Solanum lycopersicum: one gene and its partners. The protein of the gene in region 1 interacts with the protein of each later gene in a pairwise test. Links are inferred from orthologs where the notes say so. Each region holds a gene or a part of one and is shown in the gene's direction. Other genes may lie near its edges. The genes, in order: KN1, E3 ubiquitin-protein ligase BRE1-like 1, SWI3B, 26S proteasome non-ATPase regulatory subunit 8 homolog A, BEL1-like homeodomain protein 9 and nuclear transcription factor Y subunit A-7.

The links.
Region 2: the proteins of KN1 (region 1) and E3 ubiquitin-protein ligase BRE1-like 1 interact in binary tests that used the Arabidopsis thaliana proteins (3 or more experiments, as listed by UniProt). The link is inferred for Solanum lycopersicum from reciprocal best matches to the Arabidopsis thaliana genes KNAT1 and HUB1.
Region 3: the proteins of KN1 (region 1) and SWI3B interact in binary tests that used the Arabidopsis thaliana proteins (3 or more experiments, as listed by UniProt). The link is inferred for Solanum lycopersicum from reciprocal best matches to the Arabidopsis thaliana genes KNAT1 and SWI3B.
Region 4: the proteins of KN1 (region 1) and 26S proteasome non-ATPase regulatory subunit 8 homolog A interact in binary tests that used the Arabidopsis thaliana proteins (3 or more experiments, as listed by UniProt). The link is inferred for Solanum lycopersicum from reciprocal best matches to the Arabidopsis thaliana genes KNAT1 and RPN12a.
Region 5: the proteins of KN1 (region 1) and BEL1-like homeodomain protein 9 interact in binary tests that used the Arabidopsis thaliana proteins (3 or more experiments, as listed by UniProt). The link is inferred for Solanum lycopersicum from reciprocal best matches to the Arabidopsis thaliana genes KNAT1 and RPL.
Region 6: the proteins of KN1 (region 1) and nuclear transcription factor Y subunit A-7 interact in binary tests that used the Arabidopsis thaliana proteins (3 or more experiments, as listed by UniProt). The link is inferred for Solanum lycopersicum from reciprocal best matches to the Arabidopsis thaliana genes KNAT1 and NF-YA7.

The regions. Positions count from the first base shown.
Region 1 is NC_090803.1:63,958,832-63,963,937, forward strand, and holds the start of KN1 (homeotic protein knotted-1), read left to right. Parts: upstream 1-1,925; 5' UTR 1,926-2,098; coding exon 2,099-2,446; intron 2,447-2,956; coding exon 2,957-3,079; intron 3,080-3,425; coding exon 3,426-3,561; intron 3,562-5,106. UniProt on the Arabidopsis thaliana protein: May play a role in meristem function, and may be involved in maintaining cells in an undifferentiated, meristematic state, and its expression disappears at the same time the shoot apex undergoes the transition from vegetative to reproductive development.
Region 2 is NC_090810.1:7,003,266-7,008,209, reverse strand, and holds the end of E3 ubiquitin-protein ligase BRE1-like 1, read left to right. Parts: intron 1-2,112; coding exon 2,113-2,250; intron 2,251-2,324; coding exon 2,325-2,527; intron 2,528-2,630; coding exon 2,631-2,796; intron 2,797-3,583; coding exon 3,584-3,715; 3' UTR 3,716-3,981; downstream 3,982-4,944. UniProt on the Arabidopsis thaliana protein: E3 ubiquitin-protein ligase that monoubiquitinates H2B to form H2BK143ub1. H2BK143ub1 gives a specific tag for epigenetic transcriptional activation and is also prerequisite for H3K4me and maybe H3K79me.
Region 3 is NC_090803.1:68,202,166-68,207,183, reverse strand, and holds the start of SWI3B (SWI/SNF complex subunit SWI3B), read left to right. Parts: upstream 1-1,837; 5' UTR 1,838-1,905; coding exon 1,906-2,140; intron 2,141-2,251; coding exon 2,252-2,676; intron 2,677-3,005; coding exon 3,006-3,377; intron 3,378-4,261; coding exon 4,262-4,400; intron 4,401-5,018. UniProt on the Arabidopsis thaliana protein: Component of a multiprotein complex equivalent of the SWI/SNF complex, an ATP-dependent chromatin-remodeling complex, which is required for the positive and negative regulation of gene expression of a large number of genes.
Region 4 is NC_090807.1:67,621,948-67,626,773, forward strand, and holds the start of 26S proteasome non-ATPase regulatory subunit 8 homolog A, read left to right. Parts: upstream 1-1,462; 5' UTR 1,463-1,585; coding exon 1,586-1,690; intron 1,691-3,389; coding exon 3,390-3,468; intron 3,469-4,118; coding exon 4,119-4,221; intron 4,222-4,557; coding exon 4,558-4,821; intron 4,822-4,826. UniProt on the Arabidopsis thaliana protein: Acts as a regulatory subunit of the 26S proteasome which is involved in the ATP-dependent degradation of ubiquitinated proteins. May help to control the degradation of one or more factors that repress cytokinin signaling.
Region 5 is NC_090808.1:5,213,141-5,218,003, reverse strand, and holds the start of BEL1-like homeodomain protein 9, read left to right. Parts: upstream 1-1,612; 5' UTR 1,613-1,901; coding exon 1,902-2,462; intron 2,463-4,863.
Region 6 is NC_090801.1:55,885,783-55,890,229, reverse strand, and holds the end of nuclear transcription factor Y subunit A-7, read left to right. Parts: intron 1-1,664; coding exon 1,665-1,772; intron 1,773-1,862; coding exon 1,863-2,027; intron 2,028-3,094; coding exon of another isoform or gene 3,095-3,157; exon of another isoform or gene 3,158-3,161; intron 3,162-3,219; coding exon of another isoform or gene 3,220-3,262; coding exon 3,263-3,448; 3' UTR 3,449-3,726; downstream 3,727-4,447. UniProt on the Arabidopsis thaliana protein: Stimulates the transcription of various genes by recognizing and binding to a CCAAT motif in promoters.

The DNA.
Region 1 (5,106 bases):
ATGTTGACAGTCGCCTCTAAGTGTATAAATTATGTTTTCGTTTGTATAAAACGTGAGAAAATTGAATATTCACATGTAATACATAAAACTTCGTCTTATACGCATATAATTATACAATACAATATTCCCCCGCCCTATTCTCTTTTGTCTTTCTCTTTCTCGCTTTATAATGTATAATTTATGTTTGTATAGAGCGAGAGAGAGATTGATATTTGATATACGAATATTTTATTTTAATTCAATTGTATACAAATTCAAATTTTATACAGATATACAAACACATAAAAATGAGTTGAGAGGCTACCAACAATTTATACAAACGATAGCCTGACAACAATTTACACAAATGGTCAGTCAGCAAAATTATACAAATTCGAAGAGGAGCCATCAAATTATACAATTGCTCTTTAATATATATGTATATCGAAATAGTCATATCATATGTATTATGGAGTGCAATTATGCAAACTATAACTATAACATACAAAAATAATATTTATGTTTGTTGTATGTGAAAATTGTTCAAAAATATTAATCAAAACAAAATCATTGTCAAATCAACTTAAGTCGAAATGAATAATATCAATTCTTTATAAACAAAAAGATTATAGGACACAATCCGAAGACATAAATGAAAGAATCTAAACAATTGCTAAAATCATTTATACCTTTTATAAACAGTAGTGTGCTGAATTCGAAATCAAGTCAACTTGTATAATTTCGTTGTTATGTGATTCAACATGTTCCATGTATTTAGAAAAAAGATAGGTTTTTTTTGCCTTTAACACAATAGTTTAGAATTTGTTATTTGTGATATTTTCCTATTTATGTTTAGTTTTATAGATTCATACTCCTAGTTTATTTTGGTTGTTAATTATAAATACGGCTCAGTAATGGAGTTAGAAATTTTAATAAAGGGGTTTAAAATTTGAAGAAATAGACAGACGAAATAGTTGAGGGAGATTCAATCAATATAATTTTCTATCGAAAGGGTTTAGATGAACCTCTGCCACTGAATAAAGGTACGTAGTGAAAAATACAACGAACATAGAGCAATACACCCAATATACAAAAATACAAAGTTATTGAGTTGTTTAATAAAGTCTCCTTCCTATTATTTATAGATCAATAAGTTTATTCTATATAACCATTGTTTATTCATTTGGGTCAAAATAACCCATTACACACATTTTTTTCAATTCATCTCTTACAAAAATCAAGACTCAGACTCAAGATATTCACTCCCTATTTAGTGAGTCCTAATAATAGAATATATTAAAATACTTACATAAAATCATATATATGAATGAAAGAAGTTTTTATCTTGTTGATCAATGCATATAGATTACTAGTTTGAACTTTGAGTGAAATTTTTTTTCTATTTTTTATTGTATTTTTAATCTTAGCAAAAAAAATTAAAAAATACGTTATTCTTACTCATTTTGTTTCAAATGTTTAACATCACATCAATTTTCGTCCATATAACTTTTCCAATACAAATTCAACTACTTTACTAGTTGTACTTTAATTTTTGTCATCAATATTTCATCAAATACCTTTCAGTAAAATATTTAAAACATCGTATAAGAATTTTGAAAATCAATTAAATACCCAAAAAAAAAAAAGTTAAAAAATTAACTCTCTTTTGAAATATAAAAATAAAATAAAGTAACAAACTATTTTCTTTATAACTATTTAGTGGTCTTTCTTGCTTTTTCATGTAAGGTGAGTACATTTTTATATATTTTCCAATATATATATATACACACCTTTCTTTTTTCTTCAAGGAAGAACGTCTTATCACCCTACGCAGCCGCTACTAGTAACACCCCCCCCCCCTCCTTTTTTTTTTTCTTCCTTGCTCACCACAATAATCTTCTAAGATCCCTTCCAATTTCTATCTTATGATAATAATAAACTTTATTTAAATATGCACAAAATTTGTTTATTTTTAGCCAATAAGAAAGAGATCTCGTTGAGTAGTTGAAAAAAAAACTTTAATTAGTAGTTGAGGAATAATAAGTTTCCTTTTTTTTTATAGGGTTTTTATTTAGTTATCATCATCATCTTGATTTAGGGTTTTTTTTCCCCTTATTTAATGGAGAATAATAATTATAATAATCATGTGTCTGGAGAAAATTCAGGAGGTCAAAGAGGTCATTTCTTTTATGGAGGAAATCAAGTTCTTGGTGGTGCTGCCCCTATTTATGGTAGAGGTGGAGATTGTTATGATCCGATGATAGTAAAAACAGAAGGTGGAGGAAGTACTTCTCATCATAACCATACATTTCATTATCCATCGATTATTCGTAATCATCATCATGACAGTACGGAAACTTCTGGTGGTGGTGCTGGTGCTGGTGAAGTAATCGAAGCTTTAAAAGCCAAAATTATAGCTCATCCTCAATGTTCTAACCTTTTGGATGCTTACATGGACTGTCAAAAGGTATACACATTTTACTCTCCGCGTTTAATAATCATGATGTTTAAATCAGCTTACAAACGCTTAATTAATTGAATGGATACTTGTCACATCGCGATAACATATATTAATACTAATTTATTATATCCATCAAGACTGTGAATCACCGACTGTTTTTTTCCCCCTAATTTTGATTGTGTTCTCGTATAAAATCTGCTAAATTTGTTCTAACTTGTTCCTATTATGAATTTCGTAACTTATCGATGAAAATTCTATATTTATGTTGAAAATTTTGCTTATTTGGTAAAATTTAAATAATTTTCTTTTACTATTAAAATTTTATATTTATAACCTCAAAATTTAAATGACTATGATTAATGTTACATTTTTGCATTCTCAAAATGTATAATACCCAAAAGAAAAACTAAAAAAAATGGTATTGTTTTGATTTTTTTTTCTAGCTTATATTGCTATCACAAGATAAATAAATTACTCTATAGTGTGTTTAATTTGAGTGTTAAAATTATTGTAAAGGTGGGTGCACCGCCGGAAGTGGCGGCGAGGCTGTCGGCGGTACGGCAAGAGTTTGAGGCGAGGCAACGAGCTTCGTTGACCGACAGAGATGTTTCCAAGGACCCAGAACTTGATCAGTTCATGGTTAGTTTTTTAATTTTCGAAACAGACCTTATCCTTATCTCATATTGAATTTTATTTCTCTAATTTCGTAATTTTATCTAAATTTTTGCGCTTGCTCCTTTTGATTTTATTTATCTTTTATACTAACAATAAATTTTCCTTTTACTTTGTCTGATTTAGTAAATTCAGTCAATTTTAAGATTAACCTATTAAAATGAATCACTAATAAAAAAATTTTCAAGAGAGTATTAAACTCGGAGTATATATGTTGGATAAATTCACTAAATAAATAATATTATAGACTTAACATATCAAACTCCAACTCTACGCTCTCATTTCAAATTCTAAATCCGTCTCTATTATACAGGAAGCATATTATGACATGCTAGTCAAGTATAGAGAAGAATTAACAAGGCCTCTTCAAGAGGCAATGGAGTTCATGCAAAAGATTGAAGCTCAGCTTAATATGCTTGGTAATGCTCCCGTTCGGATCTTCAATTCTGGTAATTTTCTTCTTTCTCATAAATATTACACTGTAAACGAAGTTTAATAAAGAAAGACTTTTTTAAAAAAAATTGCTAACTTAAAACAAGTTAAAACATATAAATATTTACTTGAACATGAAAATCATCTCAATAAAGTAAAGTCAAAAGTTTAATATTATATTGTTTTTCTACATGGTAAGATAACATTGTTTTAGACAAAATTTAAAAGGAAATGCTAGAAGAATAAATTGAATTTAATTTGTTCTTTCATGGTAATTGCCAAGCATGGAAAGAATGCAAGAAGAATAAATTAAGGGAATGATAAAAATTTCATATTTGAGTGCTTAAAGAAGAAAAAAACCCAAAGACTAAGGGCTATGATTTGAACTTTTGTTTGTGTGTTCAGTGTAAAAACTGTTGGTTCATTGAATACTGTTTGTCCCAATGCATTGCTATTTCTGTTCAAGACAACTTTGACCCCCCCTAAAAAATATCATTCTTCATTTCCAATTAATGCTTTTTCTGTTGAGAGATACAAAAGAACATCGATGGAGTAAGAAACCCTATTTACGAGTGTACGAAGAGTAGTAATAGTAAAACCACTGAATGTGGTGCAGGTAGATGAAGTTATTTATCCTTTAGTGATTTCGAATTCGAATTTTAAATATGAAAGAAATTCTTAAAATTTTTTGAATGGGGCCTATATGATGATGTGAATTGTTTTTTTATAACCATGATATCTAGACTAGTTTAAATTCGTCTGAATTAATTTCATCTAAGTATCTATAATCTCTCATTATCAATAGCTATAAAATAAATTTTTTCATCAAAGACACGATAAACAACAAATATTTTTACTATCATTTGAATCAGAAACCTAATTTCACCAAATATCTATTATCTCCCATAATAAAATACTATCAGCTCAATCTATTTATCAAAGAAATGATAAATAACAGATATCTTTATTAAAATTTGAACCCGAAATCTCAAAAGATTCTCGATTCACTTTATTAATTGTTGAGCCACGTCATGCATTTTGACATTATACATGCATATATAGTGTGTGCTCTATTGTTTATAAAAAAGAAATGAATTGGTTGCATTTTATGCAAATAAACAAATAGAGAGACAGACAGATCTTCTAGATATAAACAAATGTAGGAAGCCACACGTTTGTTTCTCTAATCTTTGTTTAATTAATTAATTTAGATTTTAACTTTATGGGTCCGGTCCAGTGTATTCACTGACAAATTTCTTAATGGTGAATATTGTTTCCCACTTAATAAATTCTACACTACACTTATCTGACACTCTCAACAGAAACTACTTGACTCCTACAGTACACCTCTTATGAACTAATTGTGGTTTTATCTTCTTCTTTATGTCCAGTTGAAAAAATAAGACATAATTTATTATTTATATCTTAATCATTAACAATATTCACTTTTTAATGCATTTTGCAAAAAAAAAAATGAATTTGCTATATTCAAAGTATGGTTAGTATAGTAAATTTGTTATTCATACTAATTGATGTCTACTCGTAGACTTTGGAAAATGATG
Region 2 (4,944 bases), on another chromosome or scaffold:
TCCTAATACTGCGCTTTATTTGTCTTTTCATCCTCCCTATATTTTCTAATTGGCGAAAGCTGGAATTTTCTTCTCAATTTAGATGCTTCATGAGTCAATTATTTTCATCATGTGTGAGGTGGAGTCACTAAAGTTTTAGGAAGTGGGGTATGATTTTGATATTTCTCGTTAGACTTCATTTGTCAGATGTGAAGTATTTATGGTGTTGTTCTCCAGCGATTAACTTTTGCTTTTCCTTTTAATCATATGTCAACGGAGGAAAAGTGGTTAATATTGCTTAGGGATTTTCATTGTTTTCTGATGAATGATTTACATTGTTTAAGGGTAATAATATTTCTGATGTAACTGCACCCAAGGTTGTGACCTAGTGGTTAATGAAGTGGTTGAGAACCTTGAGGTCTTAGGTTCAAAACTCAGTGGAGACAAAAAACACTAGGTGATTCTTTCCATCTGTCCCAGCCTTCGTCGATAGGTGCGAAAACTGGCCTAGACACCACGGTCATTAAGAAAAAATGATGTAACTAGTTACGAGCTTAAAAAAAATAATAATTCCATTGCAACTTTGTTACTGCATCTAATTTTACAGATTCGGATTTGTTTTCAGTAAACTCATTTAGTTGCTGCTAATTCCATGGCCATCTTTCTTCAGCCATTTTTCTCTTATAAACATTTATTTGGGGAAAAGTACTTAGAATTATACATCTAAACCACAATGAGTGAAAGTAGTTTAACCGTTAAGAAGTTTGGAAAATCTTTTACTGTAAGAATGCTTTCAAGTTTCAACCAAATTGCATGTAACCTCACTGACTACCTCACAACTATAGCAAGGAGCCTGAAGAGTTGGTAGAAGACCTGGCAGTGAACAACACATTATCTCATTACAAGTTCTCAAAGGTCAAAGATGTAGAGTGAAAGAAAAAGTCGAGGTCAGTTGGTGTTCAAAGCACAAATATAGAGTGAGAGCATTAATGAAGAAAGGGTAATAAAAATAAGTAAAAAAAATGTGTATACATATGGTCAAGAGTAATAAGCAGTTTCATCAAAGGTGAAAAGGATAAAAATTATAGTGGGTTTCTAGAGCCAGTGCAGACGAAGTGCTAGCCCCTTAAGAAAGAAAGGCTCTAGATGCAAACAAACAGTTATCTAGACAAAATAATATAAAATATCATATTAGGTGAAATATTTATTCTTTATTGCCAAATCTCTTCAAGAAAACTTATAGGCGAAAAAGCATATGCTTTAGTGCCTTGAGGCCTCAATTGAGGCACGGGCAACTACTTTGCACATAGCCTCAAGGCTTAAGTGTGTGTAAAGCGAGCCTTTGACAATGCTGAAGTCGTGGACATTTACAGCAACTTGTGTTCAATTGATTTCCCCCTTATCTGTGGCGATTATTCTTTTTTTTTTCTTTTTTTTCCATTCAGTCATGGTAGTTCTGGTCTGACTCTACAACTTGGGTTATTTGTTTAATTGTTTTTTTGTTCTTAATTCAGAATGCCTTCTTGTTTTCAACCTTTCTGTATGCATTACATTTTTAAACTTATCCTGTTAGGGTTTTCTTTTCTAGATTTTCATGCACTAATCTGTGTAAATATTTTTCCTCCTTGTAGCTGTTGTTAGATCTTATTTCCATGACCCCAACTTATCTTTGAACAGGGGAGGGTAAACACTTGGCTAATCGGTAGTGGATTGGCCAGTATTACCACTTTTAAAAAATAGCACCTGGTTTGCTTTTCTTAAGCTTTATTTGATTGAATCTCATTGTTATCCATTCTCAGTAAGACTGACAATGAATGTGGCATTAATTTGTCCCGCACTGCTTTGATGCCGGGGAGATTCCAGCATTGTGTTGTGCATTATATGCCTGTTTTATTCTTTTTTTCCCTCATGGTTAAGATGTTTGCAGAATTAGTTCCTTTTATAGGACTACTTTAGACACATTTCTGTAGCTTTACATGGATATGTTGGGTTTTTAGAGTTTCGCATCCACAAATTTCCTTACATCGCTTCAAGAGTACTCCAAAAAACGTTCTGTCTGTGCATTTCTAGTGTCTCAGGTTTCTACTGCTGCCAATGTTGTACACTGTGGTTAGTTTATTTCCTGTTCTACAGCTTGTTTTAGAAGGAGTACGGGCAAGACAACAGCGGGATTGTTTGGCTTGGGAAAGTCAAATCACAGAGAGAGCAGTTGAAGATGCCAATACAATGGTCAGTTCCTATGAAATGAAAGCTGCCAAAATTGATGACCAGGTAATTGCATATCTTCTCTGAAGTGCCAAATGTTTATATTTCTCCAGACTTTAAGTGTATGTATTTCCTTTCAGTTGAGGGGATGCTCAGACTTGATCCAGAAGCTTGCTGAAGATAGGGGTCAGAATTCTCTTGCTTTAGAGAACACCCAAAAACGGTTTTTAGATGTAAGAAAATCTTCCCAGCAATTGCGGGAGACGCTGGAAGAATGGCAATCCAAGATCGACGAAGTTCGAGTTGATCTTGCACAGTTGCAGATAGAACTAGAGAAAGAAAGGTAACTGAAGGTTAACCTTTGTCTGTATACCCATTATGAATTTATCTTAAACCAATACTCTCATATGTTCCTTTATTATATGATCTTCGCTTTACTTGGCTAGGTTTGAGAGAAAAAGAGCAGAGGAGGATGTAGAAGCTCTGAGGAGAAAGACTTCACGTTTGAGATCACACATTGAAGGGTCATCTGTTATTGAGAAGCTTCAGCAAAAACTAAGGGAATACAAGGAAATACTCAATTGTAGTATTTGCTTTGATAGGCGCAAAGAGGTTGGACCGACTGACCTTTCCTTATTTATTTGGTTGATCAGCATCAGTTTGGTGAAGTTGAAAGTACCTATAGAATGTCACATCTGATGTAGGATCCACTGTTGCAAGTTTGTGATTCTGGCAGCAGATGGGATGAAAAGATTGCGTTCTTACTTTAGATTGGTTATTGAGATAATAGTATGGCGATATCCAAGAGATTCTTCAGTTATGAGATCCATGGTTCTGAATTAGGGAACAACCAGTGTCCAGTAGTGAGACCGAATAGTACCTCCTTACCAAAAAAATAGTACATTTAACCAAACATGTGTTAATTTGTTACATGATCTTGTCTGATGTGAATAAGCACAGTGATGCTTACGTCCACCATCTGGTGAGATTCTAAGAGATCCTGACAGCTAACTTGTTACAGTGGTTGGTTTAATTTTTGCCATGGTGGTAATAGAACTAGTATTCTCCAAATATTTTTTTGATAGCGATGGAGTCCAGGTCAGTTTGTTCATACCTCGACTATCCCATCGGTATGCTACTTCCCACTAGAACAGGTACTAGGTAACATTACCTATAAAGATTTATTATTGTTTAGACATGACAAAGATAATGCCTATGTTTTTTTTTTCGGGATTGGTTTGCACCCGCTTCATTGACCACCAGGCCACACCCTTGGGTTCAACTAGTTTTCTCCAAACATGTAATTGTGTCCTTAGTGAGGAAAGAATTTAACTTTGCTAGACTCTTTATCTGATACCTATTTCACTCTGAGAGCTAAGTTTTCTTTATTACATTACAGGTTGTCCTCGCAAAATGTTACCATCTCTTTTGTAATCCGTGTATCCAAAAAATTGTGGAGACTCGTCACCGCAAATGTCCTGTCTGCTCTGCAAGCTTTGGAGCAAATGATGTCAAGGCCGTTTATATCTGATCAGAAACATGAGGATGTCTAGGCCTTTTATTATGTCACTGTTGTGAAGCAAGGTTGTCGTTCACTTATGGTCTATGCATATATTTATGCAGGAAATAACATAAAACAGAAAAAAATTCTGGTGGTTGAAAGTGGATAGTCTGCATGGATTTGCTGGTGCTAGTCCAAAGGTTAATGATTTTGTTAATCTTTTGCTGGTGCGTGTCCAAGGTTGTTGATCTTGTTCATTAACCTTTCCTTTATTTAAGTGGATGCACTTAAGTTCACATCTTTGGTTGCTGAGTTCTATTGTTTATTGCCTTGTTATTAAGTCCCAATCCATTGCCTCAAATAGAGTTTGTTCACCCCGTTGTCGCCCCCTCCATCGCTTCTCCTAGTATATAGGTTTTCCCCCATACTCACTCAATTGCCTGAAAAGGTGAACATAATTTTTTTTTAAACCACAATTTTTAGTTGCTGGTTAGGAAGTAAACTCATGTATTAAAACTAGCATAACTAATACCATGTTCTGTAGCATTTTAGTTGCTATGTATAGAATATAGCACACGAACCAATACATGTATAATTCATGAGGGGGTTTATGCATTATTTTATGCCAAGTAAAAGATGGACCAACTAAGTCTTGCATAATTAGTTCGTACATTACTATTACTACTATCCAAACGACCCCTTATTTCATTATCCTGGGTCTCGAACCCGAGATCTTTGATTATGTCCTGTGTTGCTGTAGCGGTTGTGATTGAGTTTGTTTGTTTCCTCTTAGTTCAACTATAAGGAAGATTTTAAATTTGGGTATTTTTTGGTTACTACCTTGTCGTGCATCTTTGCAAGTGCTCAGTTTGAATGAATAAGCTTGTATCGCGGTGATCACTCCACCCAACACAAACCAATTTTTAACATCCTTTCCTTGAGCGCTAATTTGTTCTCGAGCCATCCTCTTCCTCAAAAGGCACATTTTCATTCCCTAAGTACCTATATGCATCATCCTAACTCCAATTATTAGATTAATACTTCACAATCATGTATTTAACATGATGTATCACCTAAAAGTGGTAAAAATGCAAAGAAAATAACGTCTTAAGATCACATATTAATATACCTAACATCATATCCCTCTAGGAAAACTCTAGACATATGCCCTTCTTTTTATCTAGACACAAATTTAGCGTTTATAAATGAGTTGTAGATCTGTGGCGGTATAAAGTCTTAACAATATATCAACATGGGTT
Region 3 (5,018 bases), about 4.2 Mb from region 1:
TTCTGCATCTTTATCGATTATTCTTTTTTTTTTTGGGTGTGTATATGTGTGGTGGCGGTGGTTAAGTTCAATTGCTTGTATGAGGTAATATGAGGACCAAAACAGAAAGCAGGTATATTCTCTATGCAAATGACCGTATGTTAAAATCATTACATGGCTTGACTTATCCAAAATGAAAAAAGAAGGCATCATTATAGGGCCTCTTTCTTGGCGGGGACCTTCTTTGCCTGATCAAGGATACTGGGTTTGGGCTAACATGTTACTGTGTTTACAAGAACTCCCAAAGATGGTTTTGAATTTTCATTAAATTCGTCATGATGATGTTCCTCGGAAAATGTTTTTTTTTTGCAACCTACTATGTGTGGCAGGTATGATTACTGTCTGACAGGTATAATTACACATCAGATGGAGATGACAGATACTTGGCAGTTCTTTCTCGTTGTTGTCTTTATCTTTCTACGTACATAATTTGATTTTTGATGTGTTTTAATAGTAGTCAATGTCGTATCTTCTTATCATACATTTTAACAATCTCTTATGGCGTCCAAATAAGTAGTCTCTTTTCATGATTAGTTCAATTAATTTTTTCATTTGGTGCCAGCTTATATTTGCAATACTTAAGTATTTGAATTTGCTTAAAGGTCCTTTATGTGGTAAGCAGTCCCGTTTCAGTGCCATTTGCATGTCATCAATATGAATTGAAGCTGCTGAGGAGAATTAATGAAACTCTGAAATAATCTACTAATTTGATATGCAGCCCTTTAAAAAAAGGAAAAAGACACTAAAAAGTAATTTGGTGTATGTAGATTATGTAGCAAGGTTATCCTTCTCCTAGATATCACATATTAAAAAGCTATCAAACCTTTTCTAGTCTTAACGTCATTTGCGTTGATGCAGGTTATAAAAAGTCATACCCACACCATGAGAGCTCAATGTCTGAGTCGCTCCTGATGATTGAGTGAGGAAACATGGAAGTTGCGGATTGCACTTCCTTCAACATCATGTATCTAGGCCCTTGCATTCTGCTGGTTTCAGGATCACTGGCAGAGAGTCATGCATTTGAGGGATACTGGAATAGGTTTCTGGCTCCCTCCTTGTAGCAATAAACTTTGTAAAAAATTCACATCAGAATCAACCTGTGATTCAGTTATAGTCAAAAACTCCCAGAATATGCTTTTGGGTGTGTAGATAGTCATTGTCTTGCGTGCTGGTGCACCATGCACCGTGTTTAAAAGTCTTGTGCATAAAAAACAAACAAGCTTTAGTCTTAAACTTGAGATTCATTCTGTAATTTGGATGTTTTATTGATGATTCTTGAAGCAAGAAGCTTCAGTTATTATCACCAAGGTTGGTGTGACATGACCATAATTTTGGGTGCAAAAGCAGTGTTGCATCATTTATTTGTGTTTGGTACTCAGAGCAGACTTTGCCAATGAAGTTTATATTATTCATTCCCCTTTAACCTATTCTGTTGAATATTACATCAACCATGTCAATGTCTCAACTCTCAAATTTGCGTTTGCTGTTCCTTTTCCTATATATTCAAATCTAGTTTTGTTTCATGATTCAGGTTTAGTGATTTAGTTGTCTTTCTTAAGGATTGCAAATCTCTTTCATACAAGGTATTATTCTTGTTTATAGCAATCTATCGGTCGATGTAAAACCCACAAAATAAAAATTAATAGGACGTTTGAGTTGTAATTTAGACATTAATAATTATTAAGTGTTTTTTTTTTTTAATTTAAAAAGGACACAAGCAAACCTATTACTAACTAAGCTATTGGTCAAAATAAAATTGGCCCTTCGTATAAATAAAACCTTATAATTGTCTGTTGATAGACCGTTTGTGCGTTTCATCTCCCAAATGCCTTGAGATTACACTTGTCTAAATTCTAACGCTTCAACATGCCCGAATCAGGCGAAATCAAGTCACAGGCAGCTAAATCTGACCCTCAAACTACCTCTCCGCCACCGTCGCAGCAACCTCAAACGGCTGCTTTGCCACTAAAGCGTCCCCAACAACTGGAATCGTCCCCAAACCCAACAACTCCTTCAGTCACCGATCCCAAAGACGTCACTCCCACCACTATCTCCTCCCGTATTACTGAACCTGATTTCATCTATATTCCCAGTTATTCCCGTAAGTCCCATCTACTTTTCAGCTTTTCTTTTCAAATTTGCTTCTGTATTTTTAGGGTGGAATGGATATAGATGATTCGTGATACTTAATTAGTTCTTCTTCTTCTTTTAGGTTGGTTTTCATGGAATAGCATTCATGAATGTGAGGTTCGCTTTCTTCCTGAATTCTTTGATGGAAGGTCGCCTTCCAAGAACCCTAAGACATACAAATACTATAGGAATACTATTATTCGTAGATTCAGAGATAACCCCACTAAAAAGATAACCTTTACTGAGGCTCGCAAGACCATTGTTGGAGACGTCGGCTCAATTCGTAGGGTTTTCGATTTCTCAGAGACATGGGGTTTGATCAATTACACTGCTAACTCTTCCAAGTCTCTGATCAAGTGGGAAGAAAAAGAGTCAAAGTCAACATCTGCCTCAGCTCCGCAAAATGCTGACGCCAATGGAACGTCCACTGATTTTACTCTCCCCAAGAAAAGAATCTGCAATCTCTGCAAAACAGTTTGCAGGATTGCTTGTTTCGCTTCTGATAAGGTGATTGCAACAGTCCTCTATTTTAGAGTGTTTGCTTTATCTTGTTTATTCGTAAATTAGAAGGACTAATTGGTATCTAACAACTCTTTTGAATCAAGTTTGAATCTTTTAGCTTCTCCTCAGTTGGTCATGCTTACCTCTTAGCTCTCACATCTCAGTCTATAGATTCATACTTTTCATAGCTCATGGTTTCTATTTAAAAAGTTCTCTTCTTTTTTTTTTCTTTTTTTTTTGCTTAATCCTAAATGGCAGTTTACTTGAGGTGTTGGTTGGGCTTGTTGCTATTGTCAAAAATGAGTTTACTTCAATTTTTGTTTGTTTAAATGCAGTATGATTTGACTCTTTGTGCAAGATGCTATGTTAGTAATGATAATAGAGTTGGCGTGAATAATTCAGAGCTTCGACGGGTTGAGATTAGTGAGGAAGTTAAGACAGATTGGACTGACAAAGAGACTTTGCACCTTTTAGAAGCTCTTATGCATTATGGCGATGATTGGAAGAAGGTTGCTGAGCATGTTGGTGGCAGAAGCACTAAGGAATGTGTGGCTAGATTTGTCAAGCTTCCTTTCGGTGAGCAGTTTATGGGCCCTCCTGAATCTGCAGAAATGGATAGTGAATCCAGGTCTGAAACTATGTATCTTCAATCTAAGAGAAGGCGCCTCACACCCTTTGCTGATACAAGCAACCCAATTATAGCACAGGTACTAAGTCACATTTCTTATTACATGGATGTTTTAGGATGTTAGATCAGTGTTTGGGAAGCAAGAAGCAAAAAACAGCGACAAGGGTTCGCTTTACAGAAGCGAGAAGCGTGAAGTTTGCGCACACTTTTTTCAGATAAAGCGGTATTTAGTATAAAAATAATAAAAAATATTAAATAACTGAATAGAAGTAACATATTCCTAGATTAAAAAGTAAATAGATTGTCAATAATCCTCGTGAGTCATAACATATAAAACAAATACATAACCAAATCACAAAGGATCAAACTCTTATTCTTCATTGTGACATTGAATAAGAAAATACAACTTACTACAAGCAAAGATAAAAGAGTAACTCAGTAATAGAACAACAAAAATACTGTAGAAAAAAATATAGAGACAGAACAGATCAGCAGCCAGCAAAAAAGAAAAAAAAAAGAAAAAAACAGAGCAGCAGTAAGTCAGTTAGATATACATGTTCTATTTAGTATTGTGGACCTTGAATATTAAAAAGAAACTGGACATCTGTTAAGTGCTTGTGCATACAATATTCCCTTGGATACTTTGCAAGTTCAATGTAGTTGCTGAAGCAATTCCAATTTCTACGCTATCAAGGGAACTTCGGTTCCCATCTGACTTTGAATTATTTACGTAGATCTTAAGACGTTCTGCTGAAGCAATTTCAATTTCTACACAATCAAGGAAACTTTGCTTCTCATCTTACTTTGATATGTTATATAGATCTAGGGTCATTCTTCTCCCTCATTGACTAAGAGTCTTTTGGGCTGCTGATTTCTTGAAGTAGACAAGTTGATTAATTAGGTCTTTAATAATAGTCAAGTTAGACTTCAACTGATTCCTCTTGTTTTTGAATCTTGCTGCAGGCTGCTTTCCTCTCTGCTCTTGCTGGAAAAGAAGTTGCAGAATTAGCAGCACATGCCGCTGTTACTGCTTTGTCTGAGATTGGTGAAGGAATAACAACAGGGAGTCTAGAATCTGTACTCTGTGGTGCAGAGCGGCAAGGTATCCCTATTATTTGTTGTGGTTTCAACAGAGAAATCCCTATTACTGCAAACTTTTTTGATAAGAGTACTACTGCAAACTTTAGACATATGGGGTGTCAGCTTCATAAGAAAGGAGTTTGTCTAAAGTGAAATCTGATGCAACTCTTGTCTCTTGGTTTGTGCAGTAGTATTAGCGCATTTGCAATGTTAATTAATGCGTCTTCTTGGTGCATTGTTTGCTGCATTCTTTGACAACAACTTTTGGAATGTAAAATGCCAAGGGCCATCTTTACTGACATCCTTGTTTCATTTACAAGGATGTATTGTGAAATTTTTGTCTAGCCTCTTTGTTCCAACAGGATTGGCGGGCATTAATGACCTTGATACTCAATTGACTTAGAATGATTAAACTACATGAGAACTTCATCGATAACAAGACCAAGACAAGAGGGGCTTTTACCCTCCTCCTCCCTTTATTTTTATTTTTTTTGTCTTTTTTATTTGGCTTCACCCCAAGCAGTACTTACCAAAAGACTGGTTTATGGAGATTTCACTTAGTACTTGAATGTCCATTGGCCTTTTAGCAAACTTCCTCTAATTGCAAAGCCAATAATCTCCCTCGTAGCAGAATTGTTGG
Region 4 (4,826 bases), on another chromosome or scaffold:
TATTAGATCTACGAAAAATATTTTTCTGTATAAATTATTCAATTTCAAGCAACATAAATGAAGTTAGAAATATAGGACACTCATATGCCAAAAGCTGTCATCTCCATAATTGTTTACTTATCTCCAAAAGTGTGTGTTTCATTAGAGTACCTTTCAGCAAACACCTGTTGTATATAGCAAGGTTTCACGGTTGTTATTATTTGGGTGCCAAATGAAATGTGTATTGAGTACTACATCCTTCCCAAAGAAACTTCTTTTGAGTTGAAGTGTTATTGTTCAAGTGTCTTTTTTTTAGATAATAATATTTTATTTAAATATATTAAACTTTAATTATTTTTTTGATGTTGACATTTGACTTTATAACAAATTTTAACCGAACTTAAAATGAAAATATTGCTATTTTTTTAAAGAAAGGATTTTTGTTATTTAATAAAATATTTTATTTTTTATATACGTGTGAACGGTTACCTATAGGTAGCCCTTTTAATTTTATTACTCTTATATAAAGATTATTTATTACTAAAATCAAAATATGAATGTTCTGTGTTATTTGAACCTACAGTTTTAAACTTTGGATACACTGTCAAGAACAAACATCAAATACGATATTGTTAAATGAGAGAGAAAGTTCTCTTTTGATGTCAAATCACACCTAATATATTATCATTCTTTGAAAAATCTTTATCAAAATATTTTTAAAATCACTTTTTTTTCTTTATATATTATGGGCATTCATAATAAAGAAAAAAATATTTTCAATAATATGAATATATTGAATTAGTGGATTGTTCATATTCTCAATTCATGAACTATATACATCAATGTATGTGTATTTACTAGGTTGCATTAATCATTTTCAATAAGAATATATCTATTTATTATGACATTTAACATGGTGTCTTTGAAATGATTTATAAACCTATTAATAAGAATATTTGTTTACCATTGTAAAAGACACTTGGAGATATTTGAATAATATGATCTCTGCATTTTACTTTTTTGTATATCTTGTCTATATTGTTTGTAATATATTATTTATGTTTTACAACATTTATTAGGTATCTAAAGTTTATAAAATAATAAATAATATATCTCATCTATATTATTTGTAGTATATTATTTATGTAAACGACATTTATTAGGGATCAAAAGTTTATAAAATAACAAATAATATATCTTGTCCATATTGTTTGTAGTATATTATTTATGATTTACAACATTTATTAGGTATCAAAAGTTTGTAAAATAATAAATAATATTATTTTAAATTTAGTAAAAATTGAGCGATTGAGTTATGACTTATTACTAATCCGTTTTGATCCAATTCATTTTAGCCTAAACAAATTTGAATTCAATTAGGTCTTAACTCATTTATTATTTTAATCCATTTTGTCCGTTCAAATTCAATCCAACCAACCGAAATCAGCCCAACACAAAAGCCCATGAACTTCTTCGTTGGGCTTTCAGGCCCCTTATATGAACACCAAGAAAAATCGTCCAATTTTCTTCCTCCGTTTTCTTGTAAAGAAAGAAGAGAATCCTTCTACAGAGACCGAGAAGAAAAAGCTCTGAACAGAGATCGAACATGGATCCAAAGATTACAGAAGTTTCACAGACTTTCGAACGATTCAAAGCTGCTTTTGTGCGTAACGATTTTGATGCTTGCACTAGGCTACTCTCCCAGCTCAAGGTAATCGCATCAAATCATCATCTATCATTGTTTAAACCCTAGTTTGTTTTTCTAAATTTTGCTCAAATCATGTAAATGTGAGATGTTTAGAGGTGTTAGTCTTTAATTGGCTTATCGCACTTGTATGGTGATAATTATAGTGATTTATATGCCGATTTTATGCGGAATGATTTTGATGCTTGTATTAGGCTACTGTTTTAGCTCAAGGTAATCGCATCATTATGATATTACCATAGGTGAATGCGGCGAAAACCCTAGCTTTTCGTTCTAAATTTTGCTCATTTTATGAAAATGTAGAAGGAATGGTTAGATACACTCTTCAAGTATAATGATATATATGTCGATTTTATGTTGAAGCGAAGTTGATAGTTTGTAATGGGCTACTATCTTAGCTCAGGGTAATCACATGAATATGATATACCTAGGTGAACAACTCATTGAAAACCGTAGCTTTCTGTCGCAATCTTACTCATCTTCTGAGTTGTACTTTATGTAGAGTTTTCTTCTCTGCTGCTTTATGATTGCGTTTATCACGACATTCGACCATTCTGTTAGGAATTATATTCATACTTGCAGTAGGCTGTCTCTCAGCTCAGTTAATCGAAATCAATAACACAGCGCAAACTTTTCCAAAGCCTAAGCTGTTGTCATAATTTAGCTCTTATTATGAAATGTACCGTCACAATGATTTCTGTTTTGTCGCCTTAGAAATCTTCTCTCTTATATAGCCACCAAGACTTTGATTCAACATAAAGGAAGTACAACGTTAGATCTATGTTAGGCACCCACCACAAGTTTGAATCTTGTCAATGAGTAAAGTTGGTATTTAAATAGCAGGGCAGAGGTATGGGCACATGCTACCCCAAGTGTCAAGTTTGTGCCCCGACAGGAGTGGGCCAATTAACTATCAGGGAACTTATTGGTTATAAAAAATATTTCTCTTTATGATTACCTTCGTCACATATTCAAGCTTATACTTTGATAACTTTGCCCATGTTGTGTAACTGTTTGACATGTTCAATTAACTCGAAACAGCTTAGGGAACTTTCTTCAAGATTTACCTTGGTAGGAGATAAGATAAAAAATACTCCCTCCATCCACTTTTATTTGTCATGTTGTGCTTTTTGAAAGTCAATTTGACTTACTTTCAAAGTTTAAATTAGATTACATCAATTCGATTTTTTAAACAAAAACTTTGGATATTTAAAAACTATAAGAAAAGTACTATAAAATGCAATTTCTTACATCAAGCTTCAAATGAGAGAAATATTCAACTTAAAAAGTCGATTCTATCTCGTATTTTCCTTGAACATATGCAAAAGGAGAAAATGCAGGGTTAGTTACTTTTTATCACCGGGTCTTGTAACAAGCTGGACTGATTCACTTGCAAGTGTGAGATGTAGAGAACCTCTGGTTTTAGGGAAATCCTAATTGAGTATTGGAATGAGATGAGCCACACAAAGCAGAATTTATATAAAGTAGTCAGTATACGCGACCTTTAATTTGGGATTGCAACGTAGTTGATTCACTGAGTATATGAGGTACCTAATGTGTATTGTCTTTGTGAGATTCAAGATATAGCAATGACTTATCTACCTTGTATTTTCTTATTTTCATGATAAAGGACTTCTCTACCTTGTTCAGATCGGTTGTGTAAATGTCTTTTATAACTTCGAGTTATTTTATTTTGACATTTTAGGTTCTTCTGACCTCTTTCACGAGCTTACCGCCCCTATTCCAAGAAACATCTAATGCCATCCATGAGTTGACAATTGCAAGTAATGTTCTGCACTCTTGTTTATTTTATTTGCTTTTCATTATGTTGCCTAATTGCTTCTGAAGGTGCTGGTGCTTGGTTGCTGATTGTGTATTATGATTATCTATGAATTGTAAGTACATTATCTTGGAGATGCAGTGCTCAGTTCTTCCACTAATATGCCATATGCTGTACAATGGGAAGTGTAATTCGAAGGCAGTGAAGCTGTTTTTTCAAGCCCCAAAAAAAAAACTAAAGGAAAAGGAATAGCTTGTTTGAACAAATTTGATACATTCGTTATCTCATTAAAAGTAAAAAGAAAATATTCTTCAATAATCATTTACTTCATCAAAAAGATAAATAAATATAAAATATTCTTCAATAAAATGCAGGACATGTATTCCATGAGGTCATCTGAATATAGAGCATTTTTATCCTTGTTAGGCGGGATGGCGGGATGCCATTTCAGTGTATTTCTGCAACCATAGGAAAGACAAAGACTTGTTTGTTTGCTTGCTTGTTAATATTATTATTATTAGATTTGCTTATTCTCGAGATTGTTGGCTTGCTAATATTATATGATTGATTTAAGCCATTTGAATTTGGAGCTTGGTGAAAGTTCACGGTTCTCACAGTCACACTAATAGTGTTCAATGGTATAACAATTCACAGGAGATATTTACGAGCATGCAGTTGTTTTATCTGTGAAGATGGAGGACCAGGATGCTTTCGAGAGGGACTTCTTTCAGCTAAAACCATATTACACAGATGCACGGTAACTATTTCTCAAGCTTTAGTTCCATATGCCATTTCATCTTCTGTACTTATTTGAGAAAATGGCAAAGCAAATACACATATCAAGTGTTGCATAGTTTGATATCTAGATTCCTCTCTTGCTTGCTTTGGAACCCAATTTCAACTATTTGATACTGAGGGTGAAGGAAAAACTGCCTTGGGGCAGAGTTGGGGTGGGGTATGTTTATATCGTTCTAGTTATGCTTGTGATATCCTTACCCTTGTCATAGTAAGATCTGCTGGTTGAGTCTGTTTTATAAATGCATAGCAATTGAACTGAAAAGAAGGTGCTCCTCGTCTTTTTCTTGTGATGCAGTGGCCGTCTTCCAGCTTCCCCACAGGAATACCCTATCTTAGGTCTCAACCTTCTGCGGCTTCTTGTTCAGAATAGGATTGCTGAGTTCCACACCGAACTTGAGTTACTTTCACAGAGTGCTTTGGACAACCCATGTATAAAGCATGCTGTTGAATTAGAGCAATCCTTCATGGAAGGGGCTTACCACAGGGTGTTGAGTGCACGACAGACTGTGCCTGACGCAACCTATGCCTATTTCATGGATCTGCTTGCAAAGACTGTGAGGTAAA
Region 5 (4,863 bases), on another chromosome or scaffold:
AGTCAAACTCGCTTCTTGTTTACAAAAGCTCTCAACTCTTCCTAACTCTAACCACCTAAGAAGTCAAATCCACTTTTTGTTTACAATTCTCTCAAGACTCAACTCCCAAGAAGTCAAAGCCACTTCTTGTTACAATTCTCTCAAGACTCAACTCCTAAGAAATCAAACCCACTTCTTGTTACAAATCTCTCAAGATTCAACTCCCAAGAAGTCAAACTCACTTCTTGTTACAAATCTAGGAATTATTACAACTCAATAATAAACCTAGAACAAATCAACAAAGACTAATCACCCTAGATGATATATTTCGTGAATATGCAATACCTATCATTCTGACTTTGCTGGAAAAATTCTCTCGATTTTTGTGATTGTCAAGATACTTTTTTCTTTCAACTTCTTGATCGTTTTATAGATTTGATTTGCCTTCAACTTTTACAATGAAATGAATTACAAATCATTTTCCTTCTTGAACTTGTCTATATTGAGTTAATCTCTTCGATTATAAAATTATAACTTCAAATTACTGGAGTTTTTAGTGGAAATCTAAAACAAATCCTACACTTGTTGGTCTATTGTGTCCTTTTACTCCCTTGACCAAAGATTTTTCTTGGTATAATTTTATATATTAGTGCATTTCACACTTTAATTCTTGTTTATGGTTCTTCAATGCATTATGTAACAACTTAAAATAACATTAAATTTTGAATAATTTATTAATATAATTAAATAAAAAGTTAAAACATAAGTTATTAAGTTGTGCGAATATAATTTGACTTAACTTCATGTGTATTAAGACTTTTTTTCCTGATTTTATAAACCTTATTTAAGTTTTATTTTCCTCGCGAACGAAAATCATACTATTATCATAAATATTTTAATTTTTTTTTAAAAATATATAATTTATTGTCCAAATTTGAATTATTCCTTACTTGAATGAACACTATAGGGGTGTGCATTTGATTTTTCCGTTTGATTTTATTTTATTCGATTTGAGTTTTTAGTTTTGAAGAAGTGTAACCTAATTCGAATCAAAATAAATTTAGTTTAATTAATTGATTATGTCAATATTTAGAATTATAACAAAGTTATATTTGTAATTTAAAAAAAAATTATATATATAATATTGAATTTCATAAATATACTTTTTAATATACATCACAAGTAAAACGTAAAATACAATACATAAAAATATATCAATTATAAATGCCCAAACATAAAAATAAACTAAAATCATGATGAAAATAAAAATGGTTAACTCTAACTTAACTCTCTCTCTCTCTCTCTATATATATATATCATTTGATTTTTTTTTATTTTTCGATTTTCATTTTTCTAAATCATAAGCCAAATTAAAAAAACAAACAAAATAAATTATAAAGCAAAAATCAAACTAAAAATCTAAAAATTGAATAACTCTCTTCTCGTATCAAAACATAATATAATTTTATTTATGATATCTTTTTTTTATATAGATCGATATAAAATTTTTATTTGTCGTCTGATTTATCTTTAGCAACCAACCCAACAGTGTCACTACATTATTTGCAGCTATGCTACATGAAGTGCACATTCCACAACTACCCCCTAGTCTAATATATGAGTGAGTGTAACACTATTTTCTCTCAACCTAGCTTTTGATTTGATTGTCTTTTTCTCTCTCTCTCTCACCTCAAAACTGATAGATATCAGTATATATATTGTCATAAATCCTAATACCAATAATAACACTACTTCTAGCCTTTCACTTCATCCAATCACACCCACATCTCTTCACTACTATTATTCATTTTCACATCTTTCATTTCATTTCATCTTCCTTTCTTATTTTATTTTTTTTAAATAAAGAGTCTTGTTTATCTTTCTCTTGCCTTGTTTATTTTTTTTCTTAAAAAAAAAATTAAATGGCTGAAGGATTTGAACCTTATCATGTCCCACAACAAAGTAGAAGAGATAAGCTTAGAGTTTTACTTGATGAAAATAATAATAGTAATTGTCAAATCCCCCCTCTTTATGATCCATCTATTGTTTTATCTTCAGATTTATCAATTTTTCAAGAAATTAATGGTAACCCTTTTCTATATACATCTCAAATTCCAAGATTTCTTGATCATAATAATACTAATACTAATAGTAATAGTAATAGCAATGGTCAAGGTAATTTATCTTTGTCTTTGTCATCTCTTCATAATAATGACTTGTCTTCGTCTAAGAGTATTACTACGACTACTAGTTGTGTACCACTTGGACCTTTTACGGGGTACTCTTCAATTTTAAAGAGATCAAAGTTTTTGAAACCAGCACAGATTTTGTTGGATGAATTGTGTCATGTTACTAAAGGGATTTATGTTGATGATAGTAATGATGATGCTTCTAATTTGATGATGGATACTCCACAAGGTTTTACTAATGGAGAGGAACAATTTGGGAAAAAGAAATCAAGGTTAATTTCAATGCTTGATGAGGTACACCTTTTATTAATTATTTTTCCTTTTTATACATATAGTCATGAGGGTTCTTAATTTTGGTATTTCTACATTCTTGTTTTTCTAATTCGATATTTGATATTCGCTTTGAGATTCAACTAATAGAATTTTATGTTTTTTCATTTTCAAGATTCAAACTTTGAGACTTCGCGTTTGATGATGATATTTTTGTCAAACCAAATTGAATTAGGAGGATATTGCTAATAACATCAAAAGTAAAACTTTGAGTATTGATAAAGTTGTTTTTTGTGAAACATATAAATTATGTGTTTTAGTTGTGAATAGAGACATTTGTATTTGAATTAGGATAAATGGTATATATTTCACGTTACAAAAAAAAGTGTTAATTATATAATAAAGGTATTTTGAAATTTATAAGAAATTTATTTTTTTATAAATTTTCGTACGAATTTTAATGTAATTCACAACTTTCTTATAATAGATCTCCGGTGTAGTGTCTAGTGTGCGACTCTTCTTTTAAACTATTTGTGAATGCGGAATGATTTATGCACCCGATTATTCAATTTTAATGTTCACATTTTTCTTCTTAGCTTGATTTATTTTTTTCTCTTTGTGGAAAAAGTTTAATTTTTATTGAATGTGTGGTAGGGAGGGGAGTTCAGAGTTAGCTTGTTTCTGCATTAATTATAGAACCATATATTTTTCTCCATTGACTTTGCTTGCAATTACTCAAGTCTTTTTGGTAAGTTTTAAAAGTATAGCCATCATAATTTGAAATTTTTTTGAGTAAAATATTTCAAAAAAAAAGTAGTTATATATATTTTTTAATTTTAATTTTACTAATAAAACTATATTTTATTAGTAATTTTTAAATTCAAACCAAATATATTATCCAACTGCCTAACTTTTTACACTTTTTTTCTTATGATTCTTATCCAGCTGTTGTCTATGAAAACTCCAATGCTTTTCTTTTTCTAGCATATACTATATGTTAAAATTAAAAAAAAAAAAAAAAGAAGAGATTCTTTAAAGTGATGAGTTATCGTTAATGTCCGTACAAATATGCACTATGAGATTTTTTTGGGTATTTAGAAGCTTTTTAGCATTTTAATATTACTTCCAAATATTGCTTTTACTTTTTTCATGCTCATTAAAAAATTACAAAAAAATAAAATATAATTTATTAAAATATTTTTACTTAATAAACGAGTTAATTGATTTCCCTTAAACATCATTCATTCTTGTAGGCTATTGTCAAAATTAATAGTCAAGTACAATTCTGCTCTGATATCATGTTAAAGTGTATGATTATCTTACCTAAAAATTTAAATTATTAAAAAGAACACTTTTTATTTATTTAATAATATCCTCCATCGTAATTTTCGAGGGAGGGTACAACGTTTAGAAGAATAAGTAAAAAGAAAGGTAGGGAGTAATTATTTTGTGATAAATCTTTTTTTAGTTAAAATGGTAGTAATAAAAAAATATTTGTTACCTATATTAGATATACTAAATGATATTTTATAGTGTAATTTATTATTGAATTAAAGGCTACACAGGCTAGATGCCTATGTGATATAGGCGTACAGGTTCTTATAAATCACTAATTTTTCTTTTTGGGAAAAGGTGATTTAGGGAATATATGCACAAAAATTGGTGCCTTAATTAAAGTGTCCTACTCAATTATAGATAAGAAAATTCTAAATACTCCTCTTTTCTTTTTTTAGCGTGTGATATAATTTAATTAACCTTAAACGAAAAATATAAATTTTAGAATTAGTGCGCTTAAGTATGATATAAGATATTTGTGCAGCAATAAAAAATTTAAATTGAAACTTCTTTTGTATTTATTGATAGTTTTTTGAACTTGTATGTAGTAGTCTAATTTAATTTTATATTTTTATCGTATAAAAGGTAATTTTATATTGGATTGTTTGTTTTTTGAGTTAAGACTTTGTCAAAAATAATTTTTCTATATTCTACATAAAGTTATGATTACGTACACTTTTTTTCTCAAATCTTACTTGGTTGGATTATACTGAAGTGGTAATTGTTGTTTATGTATAAAGGTTAGAATTCCTTCTAATAAATCTAGTTACTTTCATATCGAAACGTATGGATTCAAGATTCTATTATAATATTTTTTCAATTTGAGTGTCTCGTGCGATATGTAACTTACTTGTGTTCAATTTTGTATAAGTATATCAGTGTTTATTTATGCACAACTAAAATTAGAACGTAAATATAATTTTCTATAATAACAACTAGTAGTTAAACGATGATTTGACAAATCAACCGGCTATCTCATATTGATGACTCACATTCAACACATATTTACTTAATTATGTTCACTACAACAAAAGGGACATTCGATAACAACAAATTTTCCTTCTAGCAGCAATTGAATTGATATCAATGT
Region 6 (4,447 bases), on another chromosome or scaffold:
ATATATTGACGATGGTTCTGTGAATATTATCATTTTGCACTTGTTAATAGGCTTCTTTATTTTGGGAGATGAAGTGCACATGTTCATATTTGGCTATAATTAGAATGTGATATCGTTCTTCTCTTCATTAGCAGAGACACCACTTTGACATTTGTAACATCCAACATGAAACCGCATATATTTCTTGCCCAAATAGTTGGTTGTGCAAAAGCCTGAAAGCCAAGTTGATCATAAATATCTTAATGTGGGGCATAATGGAGCTATGATTGTGCTTATGGATTCTTGTATCTAGAGGTAAATTCATATGAAGCAAAATATATTATTTTAGATTTATGAATGATTAGTTGGATGTTTCACCGAACCTATAAATTGAAGAAAGTTGCTTGTTAGATAGCATTACTGAATACATTGGGGTCGTTCAGACTATTTGAGAAAGCAATAGGTGAATATGAACCTAAGAAAAGGATATTAATGCATCAAGTTTCTTTACTATTCCAAATGTTTTTAGTAGTAGGATGGAAATATTTCTACTTATAGATTGTCATGTTGTACACCTGGCGGATATAATAAGGGTTGTTAGTCTCTGATGAGGAAAATTTGTATATTTCTTGAAGATAGGGAATGACCTTTTTGTGCTTATTGCTTTTGATTAGTTGATGACTTTCTCTAGATAGGAGTTAGAAGTTAGAACCACTAATAAGAACATTCAGTTGTGAGAAGAAACACATGTACCCTTTCTAGTGTGTGCTTATACAAAGAGCATAAAGTTTTTGAATGGTGATGTTGTAACATTAAGAATAGATATTTCATGACTTCTCGATATTTACAATCCATCATTGTTGGGTTTGTCAATCATAACTGAAGAGACCTTGGGACGGAGAGTGATTTCCATTTTGGTCTTGTTTTCTGGTATTTTGATTGGTCTTTAAATCAGGTATGGTTGGGTTAGACACAAACACTTCAATTATAATCTCTCATTTCTGTTTTAGGCAACATCCTGTTTTACAAGCTTGTGTTATTTTATAACTAATTCTCTAGGCATTACTTCGTTTTCAGATTGCTCGATCTGTTTGTCACTCTCTACAACTGCACTTGCCACAATTTGGCTAAAATTTTCTTGTAGGTCTACTGGCCTAGAGTTTCATATAAGGTAAGTCTTTGTCCTATAGGAGGGTTACACTAGCAGAATTCTTTGAACACCATGGATAAGCTGATCTGAATCAACTAGACTCTTTATGCAGCAGCTTGAGCTTGAAGCATATAGTTAGTTACATAGTAAACACTTTTAAAATGCAATCCTTTTAAATTTTGCCATCTTTTCAGCTTTGTGAATGGAATTTAGTGCTAAAATTGTAAATCCATTGTTCCCTGTTTGGACTGCTGCATAAAGATTTTCCTGGATTAACCTGGAGCTGGATGTTTTATCTCCCTCCCTCCATTTGGCACACATAATAACCTGCAATCTTAAGTATTCTTAGTAGGACACTTATTTTTATTGGACACCTTAAACTAGAGGCTTCTGATAGAGATTGCAGATCTTTAAGGTACCAGTTGGGGAATATTTGAAGCCTGTTTCTATGCCTACTAATTTTATATTTAAGCTCTGTGATTGGTTATATCGAGTCTATTTTTCGGATAATAAATCTGCATCAATTTTTCATTAGTTGCAGGCTCAAACAGCTTATCCATATCCAGACCCATACTATAGGAGCATCTTTGCACCGTATGATCCACAACCTTATCCTCCACAACCTTATCCAGCACAACCAATGGTATTACATTTTCATAACACTTCTCATTTGGACTTCATCTATGAAATATCCCTATGAATTTGAGAGCTTAGTTGTGTCATTTTCTGTCAGGTTCACGTTCAGCTAATGGGAATTCAACAAGCGGGTGTTCCTTTGCCATCAGATGCGATAGACGAACCTGTTTTTGTTAATGCAAAACAGTATCATGGCATCTTGAGGCGTCGACAATCTCGCGCGAAAGCTGAGTCAGAAAAGAAACTTCTGAAAGCTAGGAAGGTATTTTGTCGAAAAATATTTTTCTGTATTTTTATTTGTTATACTATGTTGCTTTAGTATCCAATATTGCAATTTACAGGCAACCTTGACAGCTTGTTTGTGGTTCATCTGTTGATTTATCACTTCCTACTGTTAAGTGCTAAATAGCCTCCCAGATGATTCATGTTTGTGATGAACATATTTTAAGTGTCTGTGCATCTCTAGTGCTATTTTAAACACATACAGGGGTCGCTTGGTTCACTTATTAGCTATTTTAGAATTATATATATGAAATATTATGCCATTAATAATATATAGAAATTATTATGCAGTGAATAATGATGCGAGGGTTGTTACACATCAAAAAATAATATAGGGATTCTTATTCAGGGATATCTACTATGAGAGCATCTTTCTCAATATATCCCACATAAAATATTACATAGGTTTCTGCATAATTTAGGCCAATATTAGTAGTGCACACTTTAATTCTGGAAATATAAAGGCAATTTAGTAATGTAGAGTTCTATGTTGCAATCATATTTGTTACACAGAATTTTATATCATGATTGGATTTCCTTATGAGTCCCAATCAAACGACAAAACCATAAAATTTCCTTTACTAATAATATATACTGCAAGTGAAGTGTGGATAGCAGAGCATGAGAGAGACAGTAGAGCAAGTTCTCAAATGTATATTTTTTCTGGACTGTAACTATAATCTCCTCTATTTACAGTTGCTACGCATAAAAATCTAAATAGTTACTAGTATACCATATTAGTTTCACATTACATTGTACAAAGGTTCTGATGCAACAAAAGCTTTTAATTCTAGAACATCTATATTCTATATGATTGATCAATTGCCCATCAAAGTTTATATTGCTCTGATCTTTGGGAAACATAATTTTGATGCATTTTTTAAAAATAAAGTAAAATATTGTTGCTGGAGAACAGAGTGATTCGGTTCCCGATTCGTAATTAAGGATCTTTCTCCAAGCAAAAAATCCATTTTCTCTATGATTAATATGTATATGTCGAAAGTTATGGGTTCTGATCAATAATGTCTTCTACTCCCTAATAAATAGCTCAAAGATGGTTATCAACTGTGCTGGAAACATCTGCAAGATCCAATAACATACAGTTGGTAATAAGGTGCCTTACACCATGATTAGAAGTTCTAATATCTGTTTCTGAGGCTATGTTTTTCCAGCACGAATACCTTGGGAGGCTCACAGTGCAAAATAATCTTGCAGCCTTACTTGCATGAATCACGACATTTGCATGCATTGAAAAGAGCTAGAGGATGTGGAGGTCGTTTCCTGACAGCAAAGGAAACTGATAATCAGCAGAAACAGGATGAAACTGGTGATAAATCTCAAGTCAACATTAATCTCGAGTCTGGAAAAGACAAGGTCGCTTCTTCAGAGAATGCCTCTTGATCTATGCAATATCAAGGACTTTGTGGACCATAGTATGTTGTTACTGTTTGTAGAAACAGCAGTGCTTTTGTTAAAATAGAATTGTGGTAGCTGGGCAAAATCAGGGTAATTGTGGTGTTCTGTATGTTTATCTGAGTGTAGATAGATCGGAATAGGCCTACTCGTTTGAGAGCTACAAAGTGGCCGCTGGGCGTATGTTCTCTAAATACCATCTCTCTGAGCTTGTTTGTAGACATTCTTTCTTGTCCTTTCGTAATTGCCTTGTGATTCCTTCAAAATGTTGTTCTAGTAAGTGTATGGAATATCGAGTCAGAAATTTGAGTAATAACGTTTGGCACTACGTTTTGTTAGTTTAAGAAGATAAGCGTGCAGCACTGTTGGTTGATGAATTCTAATTTTCCAAGGTCAATGCATTCTGTGTCAATATCTTGGTTATCTATAACCATATCCGCTGCGATTATTGATTCTTGTGTCTTGCAAAGCAGCAGGTCTTGTATTTATATCCTGTTGTATTTACTTCTAGATATTCCTCCATATCTTGTAAAAAAAGTTAGAACTGTCAAGAGAGAAATTATAGTGTTGGTTGAGAAGTTTCTCTATTGTGTTACTAATCAGAATCTCCATTAATTGCTCGGAGTAAATTTCAAAACAGAGCACTTCAGTTGTATAACTTATCAAAAATAACAGATTGTTGGTAAAATATGGAGTGGTTGATACACAACCTTTCTTAAGGTTTTTTATGGAGAAACACAAGCTTATTATTATCTACAGATTCAGAACAAACTACGTTCATGCAGTTTATGAAAGTTATCCGTGAAATTTGTAAAAAAATATTGTAGAATAAATTGAGTGGTCATAAACTTATCTTAGTATAAAATTGAACCTATCCACCAACTAAACCAAGCATTGCAAATAATTTTATTAGGAAATATGAAACTAATATTGTACGATATAGAAATAACTCAATGCACTATTCATAAACCTTAATACTAAGAACCA